Linked DNA regions of Nothobranchius furzeri. The protein of the gene in region 1 binds, or shares a complex with, the protein of each later gene. Links are inferred from orthologs where the notes say so. Each region holds a gene or a part of one and is shown in the gene's direction. Other genes may lie near its edges.

Evidence for each region.
Region 2: exosc6 (region 1) and exosc9 share a complex: the UniProt entries of both Homo sapiens proteins name them as parts of the RNA exosome core complex. The link is inferred for Nothobranchius furzeri from reciprocal best matches to the Homo sapiens genes EXOSC6 and EXOSC9.
Region 3: exosc6 (region 1) and exosc2 share a complex: the UniProt entries of both Homo sapiens proteins name them as parts of the RNA exosome core complex. The link is inferred for Nothobranchius furzeri from reciprocal best matches to the Homo sapiens genes EXOSC6 and EXOSC2.
Region 4: exosc6 (region 1) and exosc1 share a complex: the UniProt entries of both Homo sapiens proteins name them as parts of the RNA exosome core complex. The link is inferred for Nothobranchius furzeri from reciprocal best matches to the Homo sapiens genes EXOSC6 and EXOSC1.
Region 5: exosc6 (region 1) and exosc3 share a complex: the UniProt entries of both Homo sapiens proteins name them as parts of the RNA exosome core complex. The link is inferred for Nothobranchius furzeri from reciprocal best matches to the Homo sapiens genes EXOSC6 and EXOSC3.
Region 6: exosc6 (region 1) and exosc8 share a complex: the UniProt entries of both Homo sapiens proteins name them as parts of the RNA exosome core complex. The link is inferred for Nothobranchius furzeri from reciprocal best matches to the Homo sapiens genes EXOSC6 and EXOSC8.

The regions. Positions count from the first base shown.
Region 1 is NC_091744.1:81,855,721-81,859,406, forward strand, and holds exosc6 (exosome complex component MTR3), read left to right. Parts: upstream 1-1,391; 5' UTR 1,392-1,439; coding exon 1,440-1,717; intron 1,718-2,585; coding exon 2,586-3,126; 3' UTR 3,127-3,186; downstream 3,187-3,686. UniProt on the Homo sapiens protein: Non-catalytic component of the RNA exosome complex which has 3'->5' exoribonuclease activity and participates in a multitude of cellular RNA processing and degradation events.
Region 2 is NC_091746.1:81,904,938-81,907,820, reverse strand, and holds the end of exosc9 (exosome complex component RRP45), read left to right. Parts: intron 1-1,391; coding exon 1,392-1,480; intron 1,481-1,566; coding exon 1,567-1,716; intron 1,717-1,806; coding exon 1,807-1,982; intron 1,983-2,060; coding exon 2,061-2,136; intron 2,137-2,220; coding exon 2,221-2,284; 3' UTR 2,285-2,383; downstream 2,384-2,883. UniProt on the Homo sapiens protein: Non-catalytic component of the RNA exosome complex which has 3'->5' exoribonuclease activity and participates in a multitude of cellular RNA processing and degradation events.
Region 3 is NC_091746.1:53,646,581-53,650,731, forward strand, and holds the start of exosc2 (exosome complex component RRP4), read left to right. Parts: upstream 1-1,351; 5' UTR 1,352-1,572; coding exon 1,573-1,694; intron 1,695-1,767; coding exon 1,768-1,869; intron 1,870-1,982; coding exon 1,983-2,028; intron 2,029-2,117; coding exon 2,118-2,207; intron 2,208-2,291; coding exon 2,292-2,357; intron 2,358-2,445; coding exon 2,446-2,514; intron 2,515-2,678; coding exon 2,679-2,855; intron 2,856-4,151. UniProt on the Homo sapiens protein: Non-catalytic component of the RNA exosome complex which has 3'->5' exoribonuclease activity and participates in a multitude of cellular RNA processing and degradation events.
Region 4 is NC_091746.1:82,295,855-82,299,976, reverse strand, and holds the start of exosc1 (exosome complex component CSL4), read left to right. Parts: upstream 1-1,322; 5' UTR 1,323-1,369; coding exon 1,370-1,427; intron 1,428-1,906; coding exon 1,907-2,022; intron 2,023-3,824; coding exon 3,825-3,899; intron 3,900-4,122. UniProt on the Homo sapiens protein: Non-catalytic component of the RNA exosome complex which has 3'->5' exoribonuclease activity and participates in a multitude of cellular RNA processing and degradation events.
Region 5 is NC_091741.1:64,434,426-64,438,604, forward strand, and holds the start of exosc3 (exosome complex component RRP40), read left to right. Parts: upstream 1-1,379; 5' UTR 1,380-1,421; coding exon 1,422-1,646; intron 1,647-2,133; coding exon 2,134-2,283; intron 2,284-2,970; coding exon 2,971-3,122; intron 3,123-3,658; coding exon 3,659-3,866; 3' UTR 3,867-4,179. UniProt on the Homo sapiens protein: Non-catalytic component of the RNA exosome complex which has 3'->5' exoribonuclease activity and participates in a multitude of cellular RNA processing and degradation events.
Region 6 is NC_091750.1:62,637,289-62,641,254, forward strand, and holds exosc8 (exosome complex component RRP43), read left to right. Parts: upstream 1-1,266; 5' UTR 1,267-1,331; coding exon 1,332-1,348; intron 1,349-1,611; coding exon 1,612-1,648; intron 1,649-1,745; coding exon 1,746-1,809; intron 1,810-1,994; coding exon 1,995-2,068; intron 2,069-2,142; coding exon 2,143-2,188; intron 2,189-2,322; coding exon 2,323-2,428; intron 2,429-2,511; coding exon 2,512-2,557; intron 2,558-2,631; coding exon 2,632-2,728; intron 2,729-2,808; coding exon 2,809-2,929; intron 2,930-3,017; coding exon 3,018-3,124; intron 3,125-3,246; coding exon 3,247-3,365; 3' UTR 3,366-3,466; downstream 3,467-3,966. UniProt on the Homo sapiens protein: Non-catalytic component of the RNA exosome complex which has 3'->5' exoribonuclease activity and participates in a multitude of cellular RNA processing and degradation events.

The DNA.
Region 1 (3,686 bases):
GGTCCAGACACAGATGTACGTCATCAAGCGTCCAATCCTATTGGATAACATCACTGTCAGTCTTGACCAAGCCCGCCACATCAGGTACAATCTTTTACTGCTCTGGCTGATGCAATGAAAAAGACGCAGGTGCCAACAGTCTTTTTCTTTTACTAACGTGTAAAACATGTGATGGTTATAATGTTTAGCCTCAATAAATGAGGAAAACATTCAACACAGTCTTTTGATGGTTTTCCGAACTTTAATATTTTTTGTGTTGACGTTTTGCGCTGCGCAAGTATGTGCGCAAGGCACATCTATGATTCAATTTGCCTTTAATTTAGACATTCGCACTAATTTATTACATAGCGTTTTTTAAATGCAACGTAGTAAAATAATGAGTTAACGCTGCTGTGTATGAACGACTTTCTACAGGTAAAAATGTCTTTGGCCGCCTCACTAAAACTTAATACGTGTCAGAATTGTGTAAGTTTGAAAATAAAGTTATTTAAAACCAATGAGAAGGACATTTTGGATTTGTTAGTTATAGCCATATGTATGTATATAAATACATATATGTTTATATATACATAGTATGGTTGTTGCGGTACATCCAGCAAATTCAACATTACAAAGCAGTGAATTGTCTTGCAGGTTTTTAATCTTTGGTTGCTGGGTAACTGTCGCCCTCTTCTGGCTAACACCTGTCATTACCACAAATGAAGTGTTAGCAAAGAAATAATTAAACCTACACCATTTTTTACTTTTACATATATTTGAATTTATTAAATGAAGTAATAATTATACAACGATACCGTGTCTTCTGATGAAAAGATCTTAAATAAAAAATATAAATATCAATATTTAGTCATAGAAAATATGTCTCAAGTGTGACTGAATTATTTTTATGTTTATGTATTTAGCAGACGCTTTTGTCCAAAGCGACTTACAGGTGAAAATCAAGCCAGCAGGTTACCCTTGAGGCTAACAGTAAACACTATGCAGCCAATCCTGTTGTTAGACGGTATGTAAATCTCTTATGTATTTACTATTAAGAACTTTGTCCAACATTGTCCTTTTTAATAACATGAATCCAAAGTGAATAGAGTCATTTATTAATCAGAATTTTATTTTGAAATTTTAATACATTTCTGGGCTTTAATAAACTGCAAGGTAACTATAACATTATTGACTGGTATAGTGTGTGACTTAAATACTTTTAAAATACAACAACAGTTTGTTGCATCGCTTTAAACTACATAAGAAAAAAAAAGCTGATGAAACATTGCGGAACACAGTAGGAACTAAAATTTGAGGGAACTTTTCCGGAACACAGTAGGAACTAAAATTTGAGGGAACTTTTCCGGAACACAGTAGGAACTAAAATTTGAGGGAACTTTTCCACTCCCGTTGTAGTTCTTTGGGGACACATTTATGAGCGATCCACTTCCGCATGCACCATGCCGACAGATACGAAGCGGGTTCGTGGTCCGGACGTTTCTCAGAGCCCCGTGCTGCTCGGGTACAAACCCGCTGCGGTTCTAGCCTCGCGTGGGCCCCGAGAAGACGGTCGGCAGCGGGACCAAGTTGACGTCCGGCCGGTCTTCGTCCGCTGCGGCCTGGTGAGTCAAGCTAAAGGTTCCGCTTACATCGAAGCTGGAAACACGAAGCTGATCAGCTGCGTTTACGGACCCCGAGAAACCGATCGGAAAGACGAGACCGATATGAAAAGTGGGAGGTACGCTGCTTTATCACAATCACGTTTTCTGCTCGACAGGTTCAGCCTGATTGTTCATGTGTTCGAAAGTGAAGTTCGAGTGTTTTTTGTGATCATCAAACCTTCCCATTGGTAGAAAGAGCAAATGTTCTGGCGGCTAGAGGGAGATTTGAATCCTTAACTTACCCTAGGCCAGGTGATGTAGGTGAACTCCTTCCCAGTGACACTCTTAACTCAGCCTAGGAGAGCCAAAGGTGTTCCCAGACCAGGCAATTTACAATCAAACATGTCAGATTAGTTAGTTATTTGAATTATTTAGGTCAACTGGATATAAACAAGATAATTCAGTCTTTTAGTAGCAGGCTTCCGAGAATATGGACTTTTCCGCCCTCTGGCGGACAAAAGCAGTTACAGCTTCCACGAGACTAACCCCTCAAAATAAAACAAACCACTTTTAAGTTTTTTAATTGGTGCCAACAGCACAATTAGTGTAGATAACGAGAAAGTCAGAGCGTGTGCACATATACAAACTACGTAACTCTTAAAACTTAATACATCTATGAGTTAAACAGGATTAAATCAACAAGCTAAAGCAGGGAGCATCAGCAGCTAGCTACAGCACTTAACTCATCAGATATCGCGCCCTCCGGTGGCAGCAAGGCGAAATGATTGTAGACTTGAAGAGATTTATCTAACTTTTTTTTAAATCAAATTTTAACCCAATAAAGCAAATTAGCTCAACCAACAGGAATTTGTTTTTATCAGTTTTCCAAGCGACTCGATCATTTTCCTTTACTTAACCTGAAAACAGAAGATTATTTTCATCGGATTGTAATGTTTGGGATGGTTTTGTTTGGGAAAATGATCCTATGTGCGTTTCTGCTTCCAGGCTGACCACTGATGTGCGTTTCGCCCCTTTTTCCTGCCCAGAGAGGGTCCCGTGGATCCAGGGCAGCCAGGACAAGGACCTGTCTCTGATGCTGCACGAGAGCCTGCAGCCGGCCGTGTGCCTCCAGAGATACCCGCGCTCTCAGATCGACGTCAGCGTGATGGTTCTGGAGAACAGCGGCTCAGCCCTGGCCCACGCCGTCACCTGTGCCTCCCTCGCGCTCGCGGATGCGGGGATTGAGATGTACGACTTGGTGCTCGGATGTTCCCTCCAGCAGGTTGGGAGCTCCTACGTGGTCGACCCGTCCTACCTGGAGGAGAACGGCTGGAGGTGTAACAGCAGCGAGAGCCGGGGCGGGCTCACAGTGGCCTTCCTGCCCAGTCTGAACCAGATTTCTGGGCTGCAGTCCGACGGTGAGATGTCTGAGGAGACCCTGACTGCGGGGGTTCGGACCTGCATCGAAGGATGCTACAAACTTTACCCGGTTATCCAAAAGGTCTTGACCAAAGCGGTCCGCCGGGCGGCGCCCCCGTCTACCTGAGAGACGCTCCAACAGCTCAGCGTTTGACGAGTTTAATATGTAATAAAATAGCTAACTTTGTGTTGGTCTTTAATCTGGTTGACACACAAAAAAATTCTGATTCATGAAAAGGTAAAAAAAATAATTAGTTTGAAATTCCCTCTTCCTGTCGAGAGCCTCTCACCACCAGAGGGCGCTGTGCACCTGAACACCACCACCAGAGGGCGCTGTGCACCAACAATCTGTTCTACTTCAAATGTCCTCCAATTATTTCTTCTAATACAAGCCAGTTAGAAACTAAACCTAAACGAAGTCTTAAAGTTAAACTAACATATCCGGTGTTTATTTACCTTTTCCACCGGAATATTTCTAGTTTTTGCTTCTGTGATCCTTTTCTGGAACCCTTTAGTCTTTAATCAACCTAAAAAACCAGCTTGACTACAGATCTGTGGGACGTTCTGGACAAACGTGTCCCACTCACCTGGAACAGGAGCTCAAGAAGAGCTGGGTCAGAACCACAGAAAACACAAAAGGAGGTAAAGTTCTTTATTTTTCTGTTGGGAATTTGACAAGAGAATGAC
Region 2 (2,883 bases), on another chromosome or scaffold:
CTCTTATCTCTCTGAGGGCTCCTTTTCTGTGGCAGTCTCCAAGTTTAGGTCCTCCACCACCTCCCTTACCCATGGTGTCCCACAAGGTTCTGTGCTGGGGCCTCTGCTCTTCCTCCTCTGTCTGCTTCCTCTTCAGCACATCCTGAGCTCCTTCAAAGGAATCTCCTACCATCTTTACACAGATGACATCCAACTGTACATCTCCTTTAAGCCCCATGAGATGTCTAAGCTGCAGCTGTTACACACCTGCTTAGACTCTATCAAAACCTGGATGGTGGGAGCTTTCTTCAGCTGAATGAAGATAAGACTGAGATCCTCATCTGTGCCCCAGACAAGCTGGTTCCCAAAGTCAGAGACTCTCTTGGTCAGCTTGCTTCCCACACCAAACCCTCCGTCAGGAATCTTGGCGTGACCTTTGACCCAGCTCTCACCCTGGATTCTCATGTCAGTTCTCTTGTTGGCTCTTCCTTCTTCCATCTCAGGAACGTTGCTAAGCTGAGTCCCATTCTGTCCCGCTCTGAACTTGAGACGGTTCTCCACTCCTTCATCTCCTCACGCTTAGACTACTGTAACTCTCTTTTCACGTGTCTGAGCAGAACCTCCCTGAACCGTCTACAGGTGGTTCAGAACGCCTGTGCTCGGCTTCTGACCAAGTCCTCCAAACACACCCACATCACCCCGCTTCTCCTCCAGCTTCACTGGCTGCCAGTCAACTTCAGGGTTCATTTCAAGATCCTGGTTCTGGTCTATAGGGCCTTACATGGACAAGCACCATCTTACATTGGTGATCTTCTTAGTCCCTACACCCCCAGCAGGTCCCTGAGGTCCAGTGATCAAAGCCTACTGGTTGTGCAGCACCAGGCCAAAGACCAAAGGTGACAGATCATCTGCTGCTGTCGCCCCCAGACTCTGGACCTCTCTCACCCTGAGCCTGAGATCAGTGGACTCAGTGGTCTCCTTTAAAAAGCAGCTGAAGACTCACTTGTTCAAGCTGGCTTTTGTATGACCTTCTTCACCTCTCTCTCTTTATTCTGCTCTCCCCACCTATTCCACCTTCCTCAGGATCCACTGATTTCCCTCTTTCCTATTCACTCTCTCTTTCTTAACATTTTTTTGATCACAATTGTCTATTTTTTGCTCATTTTAAATATATTTTTAACCATTTTCTAAATTGTTTTTTATATTTTAACATTTTTGTTTTTGTGAAGCGCCTTGTGATTTTTATCTTGAGAGGTGCTATAGAAATGATATTTTCTTCTTCTTCTTCTTCTTGTGACTCCCACGTGTCAGTCTGAAGTATATTTAGAAGGAATTCTTTGAAAAAAGACTTTGTTTAATAATTTAATTCCTAGTTGAATCCATCAGCATGTTTTTGCTCTGTGTTGTTGTAGGTTATGAGATGCAGTAAAATAGCCAGCGTCAAAGTGTCTGAAATCACTGAACTCATCAGTCAAGCCTTGTTAAATGACAAGGCTGCCAGGTGAGTGGCTGTCTCCTATTTATTACTACATTACCCACAATTCCCTTTAGAGGCTACATTTGAATGATGTGTTTGAAACGTTCCAGGAAGGCAGGTGGTAAATGTGGCTTTGCCGAGTCCATGCCTCAGGATCGGATCACAGCTCTGAAAATGGACCAGACCGATGTAGAGATGACCAACGTGAGCCAAACAGGAAGTGGGGTGATCCTCCAGGGAGATGAAGCCCCGCCCCCAACGTATCCTGAACTGAAATGAAAGGACAAAAAAGGAACGGCATTTGTTTTTGTTTCTGACAGTTAGTCTCCCTAACCACACACCCATACCAGAGTCCCATCCCCAGTGGTGCCGGTGCCAGGTGTTGGTCAGGTGGGTCAGGGTCTGCAGAGCTGGGGACTGGAGGAGGAAGAAGAAGATGATGATGATGAGGAGGAGGAGAGCAGTGGAGATGACCAAGTGGAAGAAGTGACACAGATAAAACTGTCAGAAAAAGACAAGAAAGAAGGTTATTTGTTTTCATAACTAAAAGTCATGGAAGAAGAAAAAAAATTATAATTGAACTTTAATGTGTTTTGTCTTACAGCAGCTGTGGTGGAGATTTCAGACAGTGAGGAAGAGGAGGTGGTCATACTTTATCCAGAGACGACAGAGAAATCAAAGTAACATCTATTTGTTTGATATGAAGCCGAGGAGGTTGATAAATTAAACTAATCTCACCGGTTTCTGATTTTTTTCTTCTTCAGGAATTCTGGGTCCAGATCTGACCAGAAGGGGGCAGCAGCATCCAAGAAACGCCAGAAGAAATGACCGCAGCTTGAAACCGAAACAGAGAAAATACTACAATAATATGATATCGAAAAAGGCTTAAAACTGATTCAAATAAATTTATTTTTTACATTTCTAGAATCATTGTTGCGCGAATCAAAAGTTTGTCCATCATATGTCACTCATAAGAAACTTAAATAAGTCATGAGTCAGGTTCACGATAACACACGAGATTCACGCTTAGACAAAAATTCACCGTGTAGATGTGATGGTGGAGTGATAAAAAAAACAAACCAATTTACGTTAAAAATAATCAGGTTCCACCGAGATTTGAACTCGGATCGCTGGATTCAGAGTCCAGAGTGCTAACCATTACACCATGGAACCATACTGGCATCGTCGGGCGAACTCCTTCCTATTGAAAAGCAGCAGAGACATACTGTTAATTTGTTTCTGTTTAGGTTTGCAGACACAACAGATATCTTTCGTTAAATGAATGCCAGTAGCACATTGAATTGCCTCTGTGTATGAAATGTGCAATATAAATAAAGCTGCCTTGCCTAGTGAAATGCGTTGTGGAGTCCTCTGGCGTCACATAAGTGCAGATCATTTATGGTTAAAATAATGACGGATTTGGACAG
Region 3 (4,151 bases), on another chromosome or scaffold:
GCTTCTAATCTAAGCAATATTCTGAAGGTGGAAATAGGAAATCCTTCTTCTTTTAAAATATCTTTATTAATATAAAGTTTTATTTCTAAAGTCATTTTTTTCATAATAAACCAAATGATCATTGAGCCATTTTAATTTAATTCATTCAGTTTTTATTACATAACTTCTTTTTAATAGTGTTTTTTCCCATGGCTGATTTATTTCATAATGAGACTTTACAGCAGAATGTCTCAGTCCGTCAGTCAAACCAGTGGGTGTGACCTGCCATTTTAAAAGAAGAATGAAAAATATTTCATAATATTGAACTTAGATTTTACATAACATTCTGTTATTTCATCATTTCATTGTCAGATTACATGATTGTCTAGTATTTCTTCATGTAGACATTTATTTCATAATGTCTTATTTATTTATTGAATTTTGAATACTTTTGAGTTCCATAAAACAAAGCTATTTGCAGAGATAAGTCTGGGTTGGGGTGTTTGAAAAAATTAATTTGAGAGCAAAACAATAAAAAAGATTCTGACCTAGCCTAGAATCTAGACCGTCAATTGCTGAAGCAAAAATAATCTTGCATTATACTATATATATGTATTTTTAAGAGTCCACAATAAACTTATAGGGATGGCATTGGGATTATAGATATTTTAAGAACTCATCAAAACATTAATTACAGTTGAAAAAATACTGGATTGAGCTGAGAATGTATTAATTTAAATGGCATACATCTGTAAACATGAAAAGAAAAAAATTGATGTTTGGCTGTATTGTTGAGCTAACTTAAGAAAGCTCTAGAAAGGAAACAACCCCCAGGAGTCTGCATCCAAGTGTGAAATCCTCCTCATCACTGTTGTCTGACCTATGCATGCTCCAGGGGATGAATCAAAGTAAAGGCTGGGTGCAATCTGATGGTTTTCTAGGCTATATATTTTTGTACAAACTTTCATGAAAACAAATTTGAATTTATTTAAAAAGTCCAACCCTAATTATCCTGTTTTTGTATATTTTTCTGGAATATGTTTTTACCTTGCCTAATAAAATCACAAATTCTGCAAAGTAAACAAAAACTGAGGGAAGTGAAATTGATAAAGAAGAAATAAAAGCCCTGAATTAACAATTAAAGCGGGCTTATAAGATTCCACCAGTAAAACTGTGATGAATCTTATGATCACAGAAGTGGAATGATTTAGCTATTATTGAGTTGTTTGTTAATCTGAACCTGGCTGAGTCAGTAGTACTGCATTGATCTTTATTTGGCGGAAAGAGAGCAGTAACAAAACATCAATTTCTGTCGCTTTTACTCCGTACCAGTAGGGGGCGTTAGCTGGTCTCACAAACTACGTAACAGAGCAGAAGTAGGAGAGTGTGCTACCTAGCATCACAGACATGCATGGTCTGTTATAGTTATATTGTTGTCCATTTTTGTAGCTTGTTGAGCCAGTTGGTTTTTAAACGACTGTTAACTTTGGGGAGGAAACCCTTTCTTAAATTTTCTTCACTATTCTAAGTGTGCACATAGAAGTAAAGCCCTGTGGACTCTGTCGCGAGCGGGAAAAGTAAGAAGAAACAAGCATGGCAGTGGACATGAGATTACCGACTGTTAAAAAAACAATGACTTTGTCGGCTCCCGCTGTATACCGGAAAGATTTGGTAGTTCCCGGCGATGTTATCACCTCAGACACAGGTTTCATGAGGTGGGTACTGGTTCTACTGTGAAGCCTGGGAGTAAAGGCCTGGTAACCATTACTTTACCTCGTTTTCTCACAGGGGTCATGGAACATATGTCGACGATGATAAACTAACGGCTTCAGTTGCAGGAAAGGTGCAAAGAGTTGACAAACTAATCTGCGTCAGACCTCTAAAGACCAGGTACGCCATTAATTTAAGAGCCATGAAACATCATTTACCTCTGCACTGCTTTCACTTGCTATGTGTCCTGCTTTTATCTAAATGCAGTCCTATAACTCTGATGTGAATTACAGATTTAACGGTGAGGTTGGAGATGTGGTTGTTGGCAGGATCACGGAGGTGAACAAATGTTTTTGTGATCTAAAAACAGTAAAAAGATGTAGTACTTTCATCAAGAGTTTTCAGAATGGGGATGTTTTCAAATTCAGGTTCAACAGAAGCGGTGGAAGGTGGATACCAACTCCAGACTAGATTCGGTCCTCTTATTGTCATCTGTCAATCTGCCTGGAGGAGAACTGGTGAGATAGTAGAACGTAGCTTCATATGTTTTGGTTGAGATTTTTGTTTTTACTTTTGCTAAACTGATTGATTTTGCCTTTTAGAGACGAAGATCTGCAGAAGACGAGCTCACCATGAGAAAATACATCCAGGAAGGCGATCTAATCAGTGTAAGACACATTTGATTCAAAATGACCAACTTTTACTACCAGTTTTTTTTTATTCCTGACTGGGTTTGAACTTTTGTTTGTTTTTTAGGCAGAAGTGCAGTCTGTTTTTTCAGATGGAGCACTCTCACTTCACACTCGTAGTTTAAAATATGGAAAAGTAAGTTATAGCACACAGTGACACTGAGTAATCCCACTAATTTTTACACTAACACGTTCCTAATTATAAAAAGCTTCTTTTGTGGGAAAATAATCTGTAGTAATAATAATAATAATAATAATAATTTTAATCTCAATCTTATTTCAATTCTTTTTGACTGTCAGTTGGGTCAAGGAGTGCTGGTCCAGATTTCTCCTTCTCTGATCAAGAGGCAGAAAACACATTTCCACAATCTTCCATGTGGTGCATCTATAATCCTTGGTAATAATGGCTTTGTGTGGTTGTATCCCACGCTGGGACAACAGGATGAGGAAGCTGGGGGCTTCTACACCAGTTTGGAGGTACATTCAGAACCAGTCAAGAGAAGTTGTTCATAAACTTTATTGACTTGATTTTGATAGATGTGTGTGAGCGTTAAAGTGTGAGTAAAGCAGTTCAACATAATAAGTGATTTGTTTGAGAAACCTTGCTGGGTCTATTAAAGGTCAGTTTTGTGAGACATGATCTAGTATTTTAAGACATCATAAATGATAAACTACATGAATTTACCTAAAGGCACAAAGTATTTTTATGTCAAGAGAAGGAAAAGCTTCCTAAGGAATGAAAATTTGACCCTCTGACCTGACTTCTCACCTCTGTTTGTGAAGAAATACTTATTAAACATAATCTATTTAACACATCCAGACATGTAATGCTCTAAGAATTCCTCCTGGAGGAACGGGGCAGCCTTAGAGAGAAAAGCAACTTGAGACTGTTAAAGTATTGGGTATTGACCCTTTGCACGTGACCTCACGCCACTCATGTGACCGCCCCCTTCGCCATGACGGACGGCAAAAATACCATTTACACCTGTAGAATCCCCAGTGAAGCTGGTCAAAACAAGCCAGTTTGTAGCCTTTTATCGCTTTTATTTAGTTGATTTGACAGTAAAATGGTTTTAGCCTGCTGCATGGTCGGCTGCACTAAGAGACAAGGACATAAACTCAACTCGTTTTTTCTTTTTAATAAATTTGATGGGAGACTGAGGACGGAGACAAACTGCAGTGATCAATTAAGCGAAGTAGCCCTCAGATTTGCAGCGAACATGTTTTTACCGGGTAAGATTAATGTTCATTTATTTCACGAGGAAGACAGGGACAGGGATAAAGGTGATGTGTTCATACAAGTTATTGATAATCCTGATGGATGGGTATTTCACCCCGGATGACGCGCGCCGTCCACTGTTGTATAAAGCGAGACAATTATTAACAATATTAAAGCTCCGATGTATGATTACATGTGTTAAAATTACGTTATTTATTTATTTATATGAGCTTCAGCGTTCAGAGATCTCATTCCGATGTGAGAGCAGCAGCTGAACCCGGTAACACCACCAGCAACAGGAGCTGGTAGAGATCCAGACTTTTTAAAAATCTGCTTTGGTGTGAAGTGAAACGCTGTTTACAACATAAAGTTATAAATCCAGAGGGGTGGATTTAGGCAAAGTCAGCAACATGTTTACATCGGTGAACAGCTGCAGAGAGAACGTAAGCTAACGTTGGTAAGCTAGTTAACATACCGCTCTCTATGAGCCCCCGCTAGATGCGCTACTTCTGATAATGGAACTGGGCAAGAACTAGTTGAAGGAATGCTGGAAG
Region 4 (4,122 bases), on another chromosome or scaffold:
CATTCAGTCCTACTAGAGACTACTGCAGATGTACTGATTCAATGAGTGTTCAACACCTTTTAAATGTCCTTATGCGTGTGAGGGTTGTTTCTGGGCGCTCTTGGTTCCCAAAGAAATTTATATTGCCAAACTTTATTCACAGGAGCAAAATTTTAAAAGTTTCCCTTATTTCTTTGATTCCACCCATCCATTTTCATCTGCTTATCGAGGGTCGGGTCGTGGGGGCAGCAGCCTAAGCAGGGAGGCCCAGACTTCCCTCTCCCCAGCCGCTTGGGTCAGCTCCTCCGGGGGAATACAAAGGTGTTCCCTGGTCAGCTGAGAGACACAGTCCCTCCAGTGGGTCTTCCTTTAGGTCTTCTTCTGGTTGGACGTGCCCAGAAAACCTCACCAGGGGGGCGTCCTAACTAGATGCCCGAGCCACCTCAACTGGCTCCTCTTGATGTGGAGGAGCAGCGTGTCTACTCCAAACCCCTCCTGGATGACCAAGCCTATCTTTAAGGGAGAGCCCAGCCACCCTGCAGAGAAAAATTTCGGCTGCTTGCATCCGCAATCTCATTCTTTCAGTCTCTACCCAAAGGTCGTGACCATAGGTGTGAGTTGGAACGTAGATCAACCAGGAAATCAACAGATCGGTACAACACCCACGTTACTGCAGACGCAGCACCAATCCGCCTGTCGATCTTGTGCCCCATCTTCTCCTCACGTGTGAACAAGACCCCGAGATACATTAACTCCTCCACTTGGGGCAGAACCTCATCCCTGACCTGGACAAGTTCTTCTACCATTTTCCGACTCAAGACCATGGTGTCGGATTTAGAGGAGCTGATTCTCATCCCGACTCCTTCACACTGTGCTGTGAACCGCTCCAGTGAGAGCTGGAGATTACGTTCTGATGAAGCCAACAACAGGACAACGTCATCTGCAAAAGCAAAGACTTTCTTAGCTTTTAAAAATAATTTCATATTTATGTTAAATCGTTAACAGTTATGAAAGAACAAAAGCTCAGAAACTATATTCCTTTTCAATAAATATTATCTTGTCAGCAAGATAAATAACTGATAAACCTTTAGTTTTTTTACCCTTTATGTGATTCTCTTGATGTTTGTGGTCTTTATTTGATACTTCAGCCATGTTTGTTTGTTCACACACTTAAATGAATGTTCTTTATATGTGCTTCATCTTTAATAAAGTAAAAACAAGTTTTCCCTTACAAACCAAAAACATAAAGGTTGGCGACACCCCGCGGAGAGTGTGAGTACAAATCGGAGCGCTTCGTTTTCTCGCACATGAGCACTGGAGCCTTCCTTCGCCCTTTTCCGGTCTCCACAGCCGGACCAATCAGAATCGACTCCAGACGACGTCCCAACCAATGAGCTCGCAAGCTACTCTTGTCGAAAACATGTCGCCCATGAAGTTGTGTGTTCCAGGTGAGTCCGCTGATTTAATGTTCCATACAAGGCACTGCGTAGATTTAGAACCGTGTTTTGGTCACGTACCAATTCCAGCTCGTGTAGACGTCGATGTGTCACTAAAGTATGCATTTAAACTTCAGTCAGAGGGCTTTAAAGTTGCCCCAACTGCTACACGCGTGGAATTAGCACATATTTATCATTCGTTCACACACCCAAAAGAAATCCGCTAACCAGCTTTAGTACTAAATTGTGTTTATGCTACATCAAAACAAAACGATCACTCACTAGACTATGCAGGATTAGCAGTTTGCCATGTTGATAAAACGAAATGAAAGGCAACTAAATCACAAACTCACATTAAAAATGAGAGGGTTTGACTAAAGTCACAAACAGTGGTTGTGCTCTTCAGGTGTGTTCATGTCTGTGATGTTAACACTGTTCGTTTGTTATTTTACTGTAGCGTTTTCTGACCCTTGTTGTCTGTTTGCACTCAGGTGACAAGCTTTGCAGTGAGGGAGACTGTAATCCAGGCGCAGGAGTATATCTGCGGCATGGCTACATTTACTCCTCACTCGCAGGCTTTGTGCTCAAGACAACCGAAGGCGAGAAGGTGAGGATCATAATGTAATACATATACTTAAAGAGCAAGTCACCCCAAATCAACTTTATTTTGTCTGATAAACTATATAAACGTGTATCTAATCGTGCTGCAGACCCGTGTTGTCAATAGTTTTGCACTTAAGTGCATTTTAGTTAAAATTTTAATTTTCTGCCTAAAACTGTCAGTGTTGTGCCATGGTCAGGTAAAAACTCTGCGCTGCATTTGAGTTTAAATCTGCCATCGGTATTGGCTAAAGCCTGATTCATGCTTCTCCGTCTGCGTCAGTGTGGAGACACGCAACGTCCTTGCGGGCCTGCCGGAGAGCTCCGCAAGGACGGACGGAGTCGAGCTCTCTTTTCTAAACATCCGTCAGTCGAGACGGACAACGCAAGCTTGTGATTGGTCAGGACGCCGCTGTTGTCTACAGCGCCGCCATTGCGCCCGCAAAAACATAAAGAGAGCCGAGGATAACAAGCGGCAGACACGGAGAAGCTTGAAGAATACCTCGCGAAAAACCTCTAAAATATGAACGTTTAATTCCCCGTGACTGGAGGAGTGAAAAGATGCGCAGCAAGCATTTTATTTGTGGACAGAAATGACAGGAAACCTGGGTTTAAGGTGGCGAGCGCATGAAGAAGACAATGAAAAAACATAATATAAACGCACTATCTTGGACCGATAAATGACAGGATACCACAGAACAGCGCTACGCCCTCTGTTGTCCTGCCGGGGAATTGCTTTGCAACACTCCAGGGGACGGAGAAGTATGAGAGCAAAACGCTTCCATCAATCCATGCGTGTCTGTCCCTTGCGGAGCTGACGGAGAAGCATGACCCAGGCTTAAGAGGTACCCTAGAACGTTAGTTGGTACCATATGATGTCACAATGCTGTGTGTGTGTGTGTTAGTGGCTCCGCCCTCTCGGTCTGCCAGGCAACAGCATTTGTTGCATTTTTCACACATGAAGTGGGAGTGGAGTACAACTCTGGTAGGGGGTGACTTGCTCTTTAAGTTTCAATGTTTAAAACTGATTCCAGGGAGCAAAATTGTGTCACATTTGATAAAATAAACAAAATAAATGCAGTTAGCCTCATTTCATCTGTAACTCGACTACTCTGCCTAAATTAGGTGAAATAAGAAAATCCAGCTAATGAATTACGACTTGGACAGAATGTGACTGAATTCATAATTTTAGGCAGTTTTTCTTGCACTCTGAAGCTTTTCTGTGTTTTTAAGCTTAATTCTTTAATGTTGAGATGAGCAGTGAAGCTCACACCCGTGATGATACAACTCTTTCTACATATTTTCTTAAACACTGCTTGGTCTCTATCCATTTGTACTAATTTATATAAATGAAATTCTTAATGTGATGGACAATGTTTAATTCCATTTAGGTGATTGTGGTATTTGGACTAGAGTTAATAGCTGTTGTATACAGTAGCTTTGTAGTGGACCAAAAATGATATAGTGCCTTCTAGGGTTCTACAACCCCTCCAAGGCATCACCCATGCACACACGCATTCACTTGCTGGTGGTAATGAGCTACAGTGTAGCTACAGCTTCCCAATGGTGCGCTGAAAAAGGTGAGGCCTTCCATACACTGGCACCACCATTCCCTCTGACCACCACCACCAGCAGGCAAGGTGGGTTAAGTGTCTTGCCCAAGGACACACCAGCAGAATTCTGTGCAGGGATCGATCCTACAACCCTTCGATCACTGGACTACCCGCTTTACTTCCTGAGCTACTGCTGAAGATTTAAATGTACTTATTACTGACTTTTGTACTCATGAATGCATTTGTGTGTTTTTAGTTACCAGTGATCTCAGTGGTGAGAGAAACAGAAGCTCAACTACTTCCAGATGTAGGAGCCATTGTCACCTGTAAGGTATGTTATGGAAACAGTTTTCTAAAATGAGATTAAAGACGTCTCTGATTAAAGGGGCATTATGGAAGTGTGACAGCCAAAACATGTATAGAAATAATAAATGTCTTCTTCATACATTCTCCTGCAATGCCCTGGTCCTGTAGAATGAGCCCTGGCATTTTTACTGTGATTGCCTGTTTTTCTGTAAAATCACAGAAAAAGAGAGATGCTCGGGTCGAGCAGG
Region 5 (4,179 bases), on another chromosome or scaffold:
TGATTCTGCATGTCTTGGGTTAGACACATCCCTCAAAACATGACACATCACTCCCTGTTCTTAAATCTCTACTAGGGCTGCACATTTAATCAAATTTTATTCCCAATTATGACTTAAGTTTTGAACGATTATGAAAACAAAACAAGCCGATTATTTGCTCCTTCCTCTTGCACTGCTCCGAGTTGCAAATCAAGTGTTCACCCCCACAGTGTTGCCCACTTAGCAACTTTGTTGCTATTTCTAACAGCTATTCAGACCCCCTTCTTGACTTTTTAAATCCTAAAAGTACCTAGTTAACAACATGGAAACATCTAAGATAACACTTAGCTGCTTTCTGGATGGAGGGTGAAGGAGACATGTCCAACTTTTTAATCATTGAGGTGGGCTGAAAACAGCAGGAATACTCATATTATTAAAAATATGCACGCACCAGGGGCGTGTCCAGGGAGTAGCCTGGGGTAGCAAATGCCACCCTTGGAATCTGATTGGCCACCCCAGGTGCCACCACACTGAATTCCCTTTAAATAGGCTTTTCATTGTCCACAAAAGGCTTGGGGTAAAAAAAATGTAAAAAAGCATAACCATTGGTGCCACCCATGCACAAAGTAGTGCATCACCTAGGCCACCCCATTTTAAAAGATCTGGACACGCCACTGACACGCACCTCTCTTCTGACTGGCTAACAGAACATGTTCAGCCATGTTACAAAGTGACTATCACCAAGACACTCTCCGTTCTCTCTCCTCACTGTAAAAAAGTTAAAAAAGCCATCCTGTGCATGCACGAGCAAAGATAGGCTCGGCCAGTTCACACTGTGACATAGATATGTGAGGATTTTCAAATCCTAGCATTTCACAGTCTATTTTCTATCAGAAGCTAATGCAGGAGATAGGTGTAGAAGACTGTTTTCATGTTCAGCCTGCATGAAAAATTCAGAGTGACCGGTTCCCTGTCATTTCACTTTATTTATTATAACTCACCTTGTACTTCCTGATTTCTTTGTGTGAATTCCATATATGGGTTTATAGCAACATCTGGAGCAAATTTTGTGTCAATAGCCCACTTAGACATGCCCTTACTGATAAAAACGCTGAGGAGGTTCTGGGGTCAGTCGCTTCTATAGTTTTAAAAGATTCAGTGTGGACTGGAATCAGATTCATGCGGTTTGTCTGCCGCTCCATAAAGGGTCCCAAATCACGGCAAAGCTCCAGAAGGATCTCCTTCAGTATTCAGAAATTAGCCAGACTAAATAAATATATTATTTATATTTTTTATTGCAAAGCAAGAGTTTGGTCTAGTTCTCTTCTTGAGCAGCAGGGAGCGAGCTGAGCCGGAGGTCTATCTCCTCCTGAGCAGCAGGGGGCGCTCTGAGTCGGAACCAGAACAGAACCAAGAGGTCCAGACTTCTTCTAGCTAGCGGTATGTTTTCAAGTCTGAAGGAGAAAATCGGTGAAGTTCTTTTACCTGGAGATGAATTTGTCTTCGAGTCTGAGGACACAATTTTTCTAACAGACAATGTGAAGCCAGAGCGGCCGGTGTGTGGACCGGGGCTGCGGCAGAGCGGAAACCGGCTGGTGGTGAGCAAGAGCGGCGTGTTGAGGCACAAACCACCGCACACGTTTTGGATGGACTCACAGCAGTGGAGGGTGGGTACCGACCGGTCCAGACTGGACTCGCGGCCGAACCTGTCAGAACAGAACCGTGAGAGCTAATAGACAAGGTTCAGAGTTCTCACTGATGAAAAACCCGGCGGAAATTACATGTGTTTCTAGTTATTTGTCCCCCTATCCATACATTTGCGATGTGTTAACTTTTTTATACCCTAAAGTTTATCATTTATTATCTATTTCATATTCAAATCTGTTGAATATTCGTTTCCTTGTTAATGGTTATTTTTATTGTTCTATACACTTTGTTGTGATCGTATATAAAATTAAAAAGTTAATGTACCGGAAGTCTGAAGGAAGTCAAAGTTTGAAACTTTCTACAAAACTAAACTAGGGTGAAGTTAGGTTTATGTTGCAGTGGTGTTTTATACTGTTTCATCCGGTAACGATTATGGAAAGGTAAACTGGTCACGTTGGCACAAGCAGCATGTTCTATCCACTCACCACCTGAAACTTCTGTCCTCAGTATGTCCCAGCCAAAGCAGAGACGGTCATTGGTATTGTGACATCCAAGTCTGGGGACATCTTTAAGGTGGACGTTGGAGGCAGTGAGCAGGCATCTTTGTCCTATCTGGCCTTTGAAGGAGCTACAAAGAGGAACAGACCCAATGTCCAGGTGAGACTCAGGGGACAGTTTTTTTCTACTTGAAACAAGTGAGTCATGTTTAGAGTCCAGATTTGGGGGACCCGTCAGCTGTTTTTAGGAGTTCTGTGTCCCTTGTGACCCCAAAATCACAAGCATGCAACACACAGACACACATATGATCACTGTAGAGGATTGAAAGAAGAGTTCTGATGTATTGTTTTTACGCTGACCCAGTATGGAACGTGTCGGGACCAACAGGAAGTACACCTGATCGTTTAGTCATGCTGGGTGTCTTATGGGAAGAAAAAAAGTCTCAAAAAAATCTGTGTCTGTGTGTATCTTGATGTGTGTGTGTATCTAGATGTGTGTGTGTGTAGATAGATCTAAGCATGTATAACTCTTGATTTGTAACTTGTTTACATTTTCGTGTGTAACTTCAGTTCCTACACATACAGATCATTAAATAAACACACACACACAAATCACTTAGTACACACGGACAAAACTACATTACACACAGATCAGTTTACAAGTGCAAAAATCCTTTTGAGACTCATTTTCTCACCTGACTGATTTGTGCCTACATGGTGTGTTTGAATGCTGCATGTCTGATGGCTCAGGACCTTTTGGGTCCCTCTGGACTATCAGTACTTTGGTGCCCTGTCCTTATTGGACCAGATCAGCTTATGTATTGCCCTCTGTGTGTTCCCTGTGCAGGTTGGAGACCTGGTGTTCGCTCAGTTCACTGTAGCCAATAAAGACATGGAACCAGAGCTGGTGTGTATCGACGGATCGGGCCGGGCCAACGGGATGGGTGTTTTCGGAGGAGGTGGTCTGCTCCTCAAAGTCTCTCTGGGCCTCGTTAGAAGGTAACATTACCCAACATTTTCATTCTCTGACTGACAAACTCTGAACCAGCAGGAGCTTCTGGATGAGTATCAGGACTGGGTCAAAGGCCGGGTTCTGTTACAGTTGGGTTTCATCTACAGACATCAATTTACTTGCAAAGGTGTGAAGTTCTCACAGAACCACATATTTAGTCCTGATGGTTCTGGAACAAGACCCAGGTTATTTAAAGAGAATTTGTCTGAAACTGAAGCAGAGGTCATTGTCTGAGAACTGGGTCAGTTTGTCTTTAGTTCCATTTTTAATTGAACCATATGTGCCAGAGGGAGTGGCCTATTCTGACTCATAAGTCCAGTGTTGGGTAATAAAGAATCCTCTGACAGAACAGCTTCTGTGAGTGTCTTGCAGCTGTTCTAAATCAGAACAAGAGCCTCTTAACTCCTGCATGTATCTGTGAGTGATTATCAACAGGACAAAGTTAATCTGTTACAAAGACCCAACATTGAGTTCTGACATGGTAACAGCTCTGGTCGTGCTCTCGTTTCTCCCTCCCTAACAGGCTGCTGGCCCCCCAAAGTGACATCCGGTCTGACCTGGAACAGCTGTTCCCCTGTGAGCTGGTGGTGGGAATGAACGGTCGGATTTGGGTCCGAGCATCCACCATCCAGCAGACTCTGATCATCTCCAATCTCCTGCAGAGCTGTGACACCCTGACAGCACCGCAGAGACGGGAACAGTTCAGGAAGCTCCAGAAGGGGGGGCTGTAGGCTTCCCCCTCATCATATTTTACTCATTTTATTCATTAACTTGTTTATAACTTTGGTGGAAATAAGCTTTATTTCTGTTTGGAACAGGGTGACTTATTGGTTAAAAGTTTCATGACAGGTAGGAGCCATCACTGTGGAGACATGTGTTTGATCTTTAGAACTTGTGTTTAAACATCCAACAGTGGATTTTAGTTCTAAGGATCATTCCAGTGGAATTCAAAGCTGAGATGATGGAATGATGTAGCTGCAGTCTCAGGCAGGTGAATTTGGTGCCTGGAGGGAACCTGACAGATCAAATCCAACAAGTCTTAAA
Region 6 (3,966 bases), on another chromosome or scaffold:
AACTAAGTTATTTTCTACAGGGCTGCCAACTTGTGATGGTTTCCATGCACGAGGAGGTGTGTGAAAGGGGTCAGACACGTGTCTCACGCTCAATGGGAAGCTAAGTCACACCCATCTATTTCCGACCATGGGTCCCCAACAGGGCTGGACTGGGACAAAAAATCAGCCAGTTCGTTTTGAGCCGAGACCGGCCCACCAGCTAGTGAAGTTAAAAAGCAATGACGCCTATTTTTTACACCACCTCTCTAACCCTGGGCCTCGATATTCCATATCCATCATGTTTTACTTGTTTCCCTGCTCCAGCACAAAAACTGAGCTTATTTTGCTGCTTAACCCTTTGGTGCATAACGGTCACTACAGTGGACAGTTACTCAAAATTGTTATTTATTTATTTTTGCTATTAAGCACAGCTGTTGAAGACTTTATTGCATATGAGCCCTTCCATTTGGACTTCAGTAAGTCAAGCCACCATATTTCATGTTCAGAATGCACATTGTCCACTGAGATGGACATGTAATAAAGTATTTGTAAATTAACAAAATGGTACAAAAAATATTTGTTGAAATTTGTTTCATTCACACCTAAAGATGAATGAAAAAAATAGTTTAAAAAATCATGGTTGAAGATTTCATAATTCATGCATCAGAGGGTTAATGCAACAAAACATCAACAGACCAAGACAATCTTCAGATATCTAACTGCTCGTTTGAGGTTGAGTAAAGAAAACAGTAAAGCAGAAAATAATCAGAAAACCGAGTTGCCATGCATGCACTGCTCACACACACACACACACACACACACACACACACACACACACACACACACACACACACACACACACACACACACACACACACACACGCACGCACGCACGCACGCACACACACACACACACACACCAACATCAAAACACATGACTTGTTTAACAGTTTAATTTTGTATTTTAAAAGAATGATCCAAACCATTCTAACTAAAAAGTTCAGTTTGAAGACATAAGAGAATCCACAATTTTGCTCTGGATTGTTCGGTTAGGAAAGAGGAGTTTGTAAGGAATATTTATTCACTGTCAATTGTTTAAACACTACAATATTGTTTGTTTAGCAAATTAATATATCGAGTTTTATTTAATCTTTATTAATTGTGACCGGTTATCAATTTGAAAGTTTTATTGACCTTACAACACCAACTCATTTTTGAAAAAGACGAATTTGTTGGCCAGTTTTTCGTTCATTTCCGAACTCCAGTCCAGTTGGTGGCGGTAATGCACACTTGTCGTTGGTAATCACAGTTTCGTCGCGGCCACCGTAGTTCACGTGGGTAATCAAAACATCATGGCGGCTGGTTTCAAGTAAGTCATTTTTAACATGTATTTTTCTTTATATTCAGACTTTGATTTTCATCAAATATATATCATCGATATATTTAATGTTCAGTGTTATATCTAAATTTAGTTTGCTTGTCAAAAAATACAGAAACAACATTTCTGTGACGTCAGTTGGGCTAGTGACGGGATAGTACACTTTATTTGTTAGATTTATCGGTCTGCTGTTTATTGCAGGATCGCACGTGTTTGTTACTAATTTGTCTTATTTAATTTCTTTAAACTTTCAGGACGGCGGAGCCTCTGGAGTATCACAGGAGCTTTTTGGTTCGTCAAATACATACAAACTATACCCAGTAGAAACCCATAAATGTTATTATTATTGTTATTAGTGTCATTGTAATTGCAAATGCTTCATTTGCAGAAAGAAAATTGTAGACCTGATGGGCGGGAGTTGTCTGAATTTAGAAGTACAACCTTAAACATTGGTAAGAAAATAAATTAAATGTTTCCTCCCTGTAATAAAACATAATTTTAGATATGATGTAAATAAAATAATATGTACTTCTAATACAAAATGAGTCGGCTCATATTTTTTCAACTCCAACATTTTCCAGTGCCTAAAGGGCTGATCACTGCCAGCTGTAACAGTTTTTACTTATTTTCTGTTCAGGGTCTATTTCCACTGCAGACGGCTCCGCTCTGGTAAAGCTGGGAAACACCACGATCATCTGTGGCATCAAAGCGGTACTGGTGCACAATGACTCAAACCGCTACTGCTAAGATTTCTTTAGGTGTTAAAGTCATGTGTTCATATGCAGGAGCTGACTAACCCTACTGTGGATGCACCTGGTAAAGGTTACATAGGTAAGTTCTGAACACATTTTACAGCCTCCTTGTTTCCATCAGGTTTTCATTGCTTAATTCTTTATCTCGTATTTTCTGTTTGATTCTGTATTTTATTATGACATCATCATCTGTCTATATATGTTTTAAAAAAGTGCCCAATGTAGACCTGCCACCCCTGTGTTCGTCCCGCTTCCGACCAGGCCCACCAGGGGAACAGGCCCAGGCTGCCAGCCAGTTCATCGCTGATATCATTGAGAGGTGTGTTAAGCCTTCAAACACCTTTAGTTTCCAGCTGTAGTGTTTCTGCCACTGCTTTGACTTAACCTTCATGTGTCGTGCAGCTCTGAGGTGATCAAGAAAGAAGACTTGTGCATTGGCCGAGGAAAGGTGATTTTAGACTCATGTGTGGACTTTATTTGTTGTAATATATTCAATCATAATTCTGCTAAATCTTGTTGCAGCTCTGCTGGGTCCTCTACTGTGACATCATGTGTCTCGACTATGACGGGAACATCCTAGATGCTTGTGTTGTCGCCCTTCTGGCTGCCCTGAAAACCAGTAAGTAGGGTTGAGACTTTACTGAAACGGTGCATGTAATAAATAAAATAAATCTATCTTTTAGTAATCTTTCCCTGCAGCACAACTCCCAGAAGTCACCATCAACAAAGAGACGTCCGCCCCGGAGGTGAATTTTGAAAAGAAACACAAACTTAACATTCACCGACATCCAGTCAGCGTCTCCTTTTGCATCTTTGATGAGTACGTTTGTTTGATTTCAATTCAATTTTTATTTTAGGTACAAGTGCCATTTTGTTCTTCTTTAAGCCTTTTTGGTTTTCCTGTGCAGCTCCATACTGATCGTAGACCCCACCGCCGAGGAGGAGAGCCTGTCGACGGCACGCCTCACTGTGGTGATGGATGAGGAAGATCAGCTGTGCTCCTTACATAAACCAGGTCAGAGATGGCACATCTGTGATCTTTAGATTTGTGGTGCTTCTGCCATGAAATAAAGCTTCAGATTATTTTGAGTATTTTGAGAAAACGGGGATAAAAGGCTCTGCAAACTTTGCCTCCAGGTGGAACGCCACTGTCGGGAGAGAAGCTGCAGGAGTGCATCAAAAGAGCAACGGCACGAAAGGGAGAGATCCACAAACTTATTGAGAAAGTCATAAAAAGCATGAAGACAGCTCAATAAATACACTCAGACAACATTTTTTATCTAAAAGTTGTATTTTCCACTGTCAATATATATTCTTTTTTAATAACAATAAAACTGCTGACAAAGACTTAAAAAAATTATCTTTTCAGTGTCCAGAAATGTCTCACGCACACTTAGCTGATGTCTTAATTCATGTAAGAATATGCTCATGGCTCCTTGTTAAAAGGTAACACCTTTTGAAAATCTGCTGTACAAACGCACGCCGTCTTGCATGATGACTCTGAGTCCTCGCGTGAGCCCTGCGCCGGAATACTCCCCAAGATCAGATTTGCATTTTCACGTCGTGGACACGTGGACGGCTTGGTGTTGCTAATCTGTGCTTAAAGGGCAGCCTCATGCGAAATTCTCTTTAAAATGTCCTCTCACTCCACAGGGCCTCGGCAGAGAAAAGTCTTCCGAAAGTAGAAATATGTAACCGTGGAAGCTCGTTACCTACAAGACCCGTCTTCTTCTTGATCATCTGAAAAAAAATATCACCAAGGCTCTTAGAGCTTCGGGCTTCCTGCTGTAGAAACCAGTTCCCCCACAGTGGACAAAGGTTTGGTTTTCAGAAAACATCTGAGAACCAAATCATAAA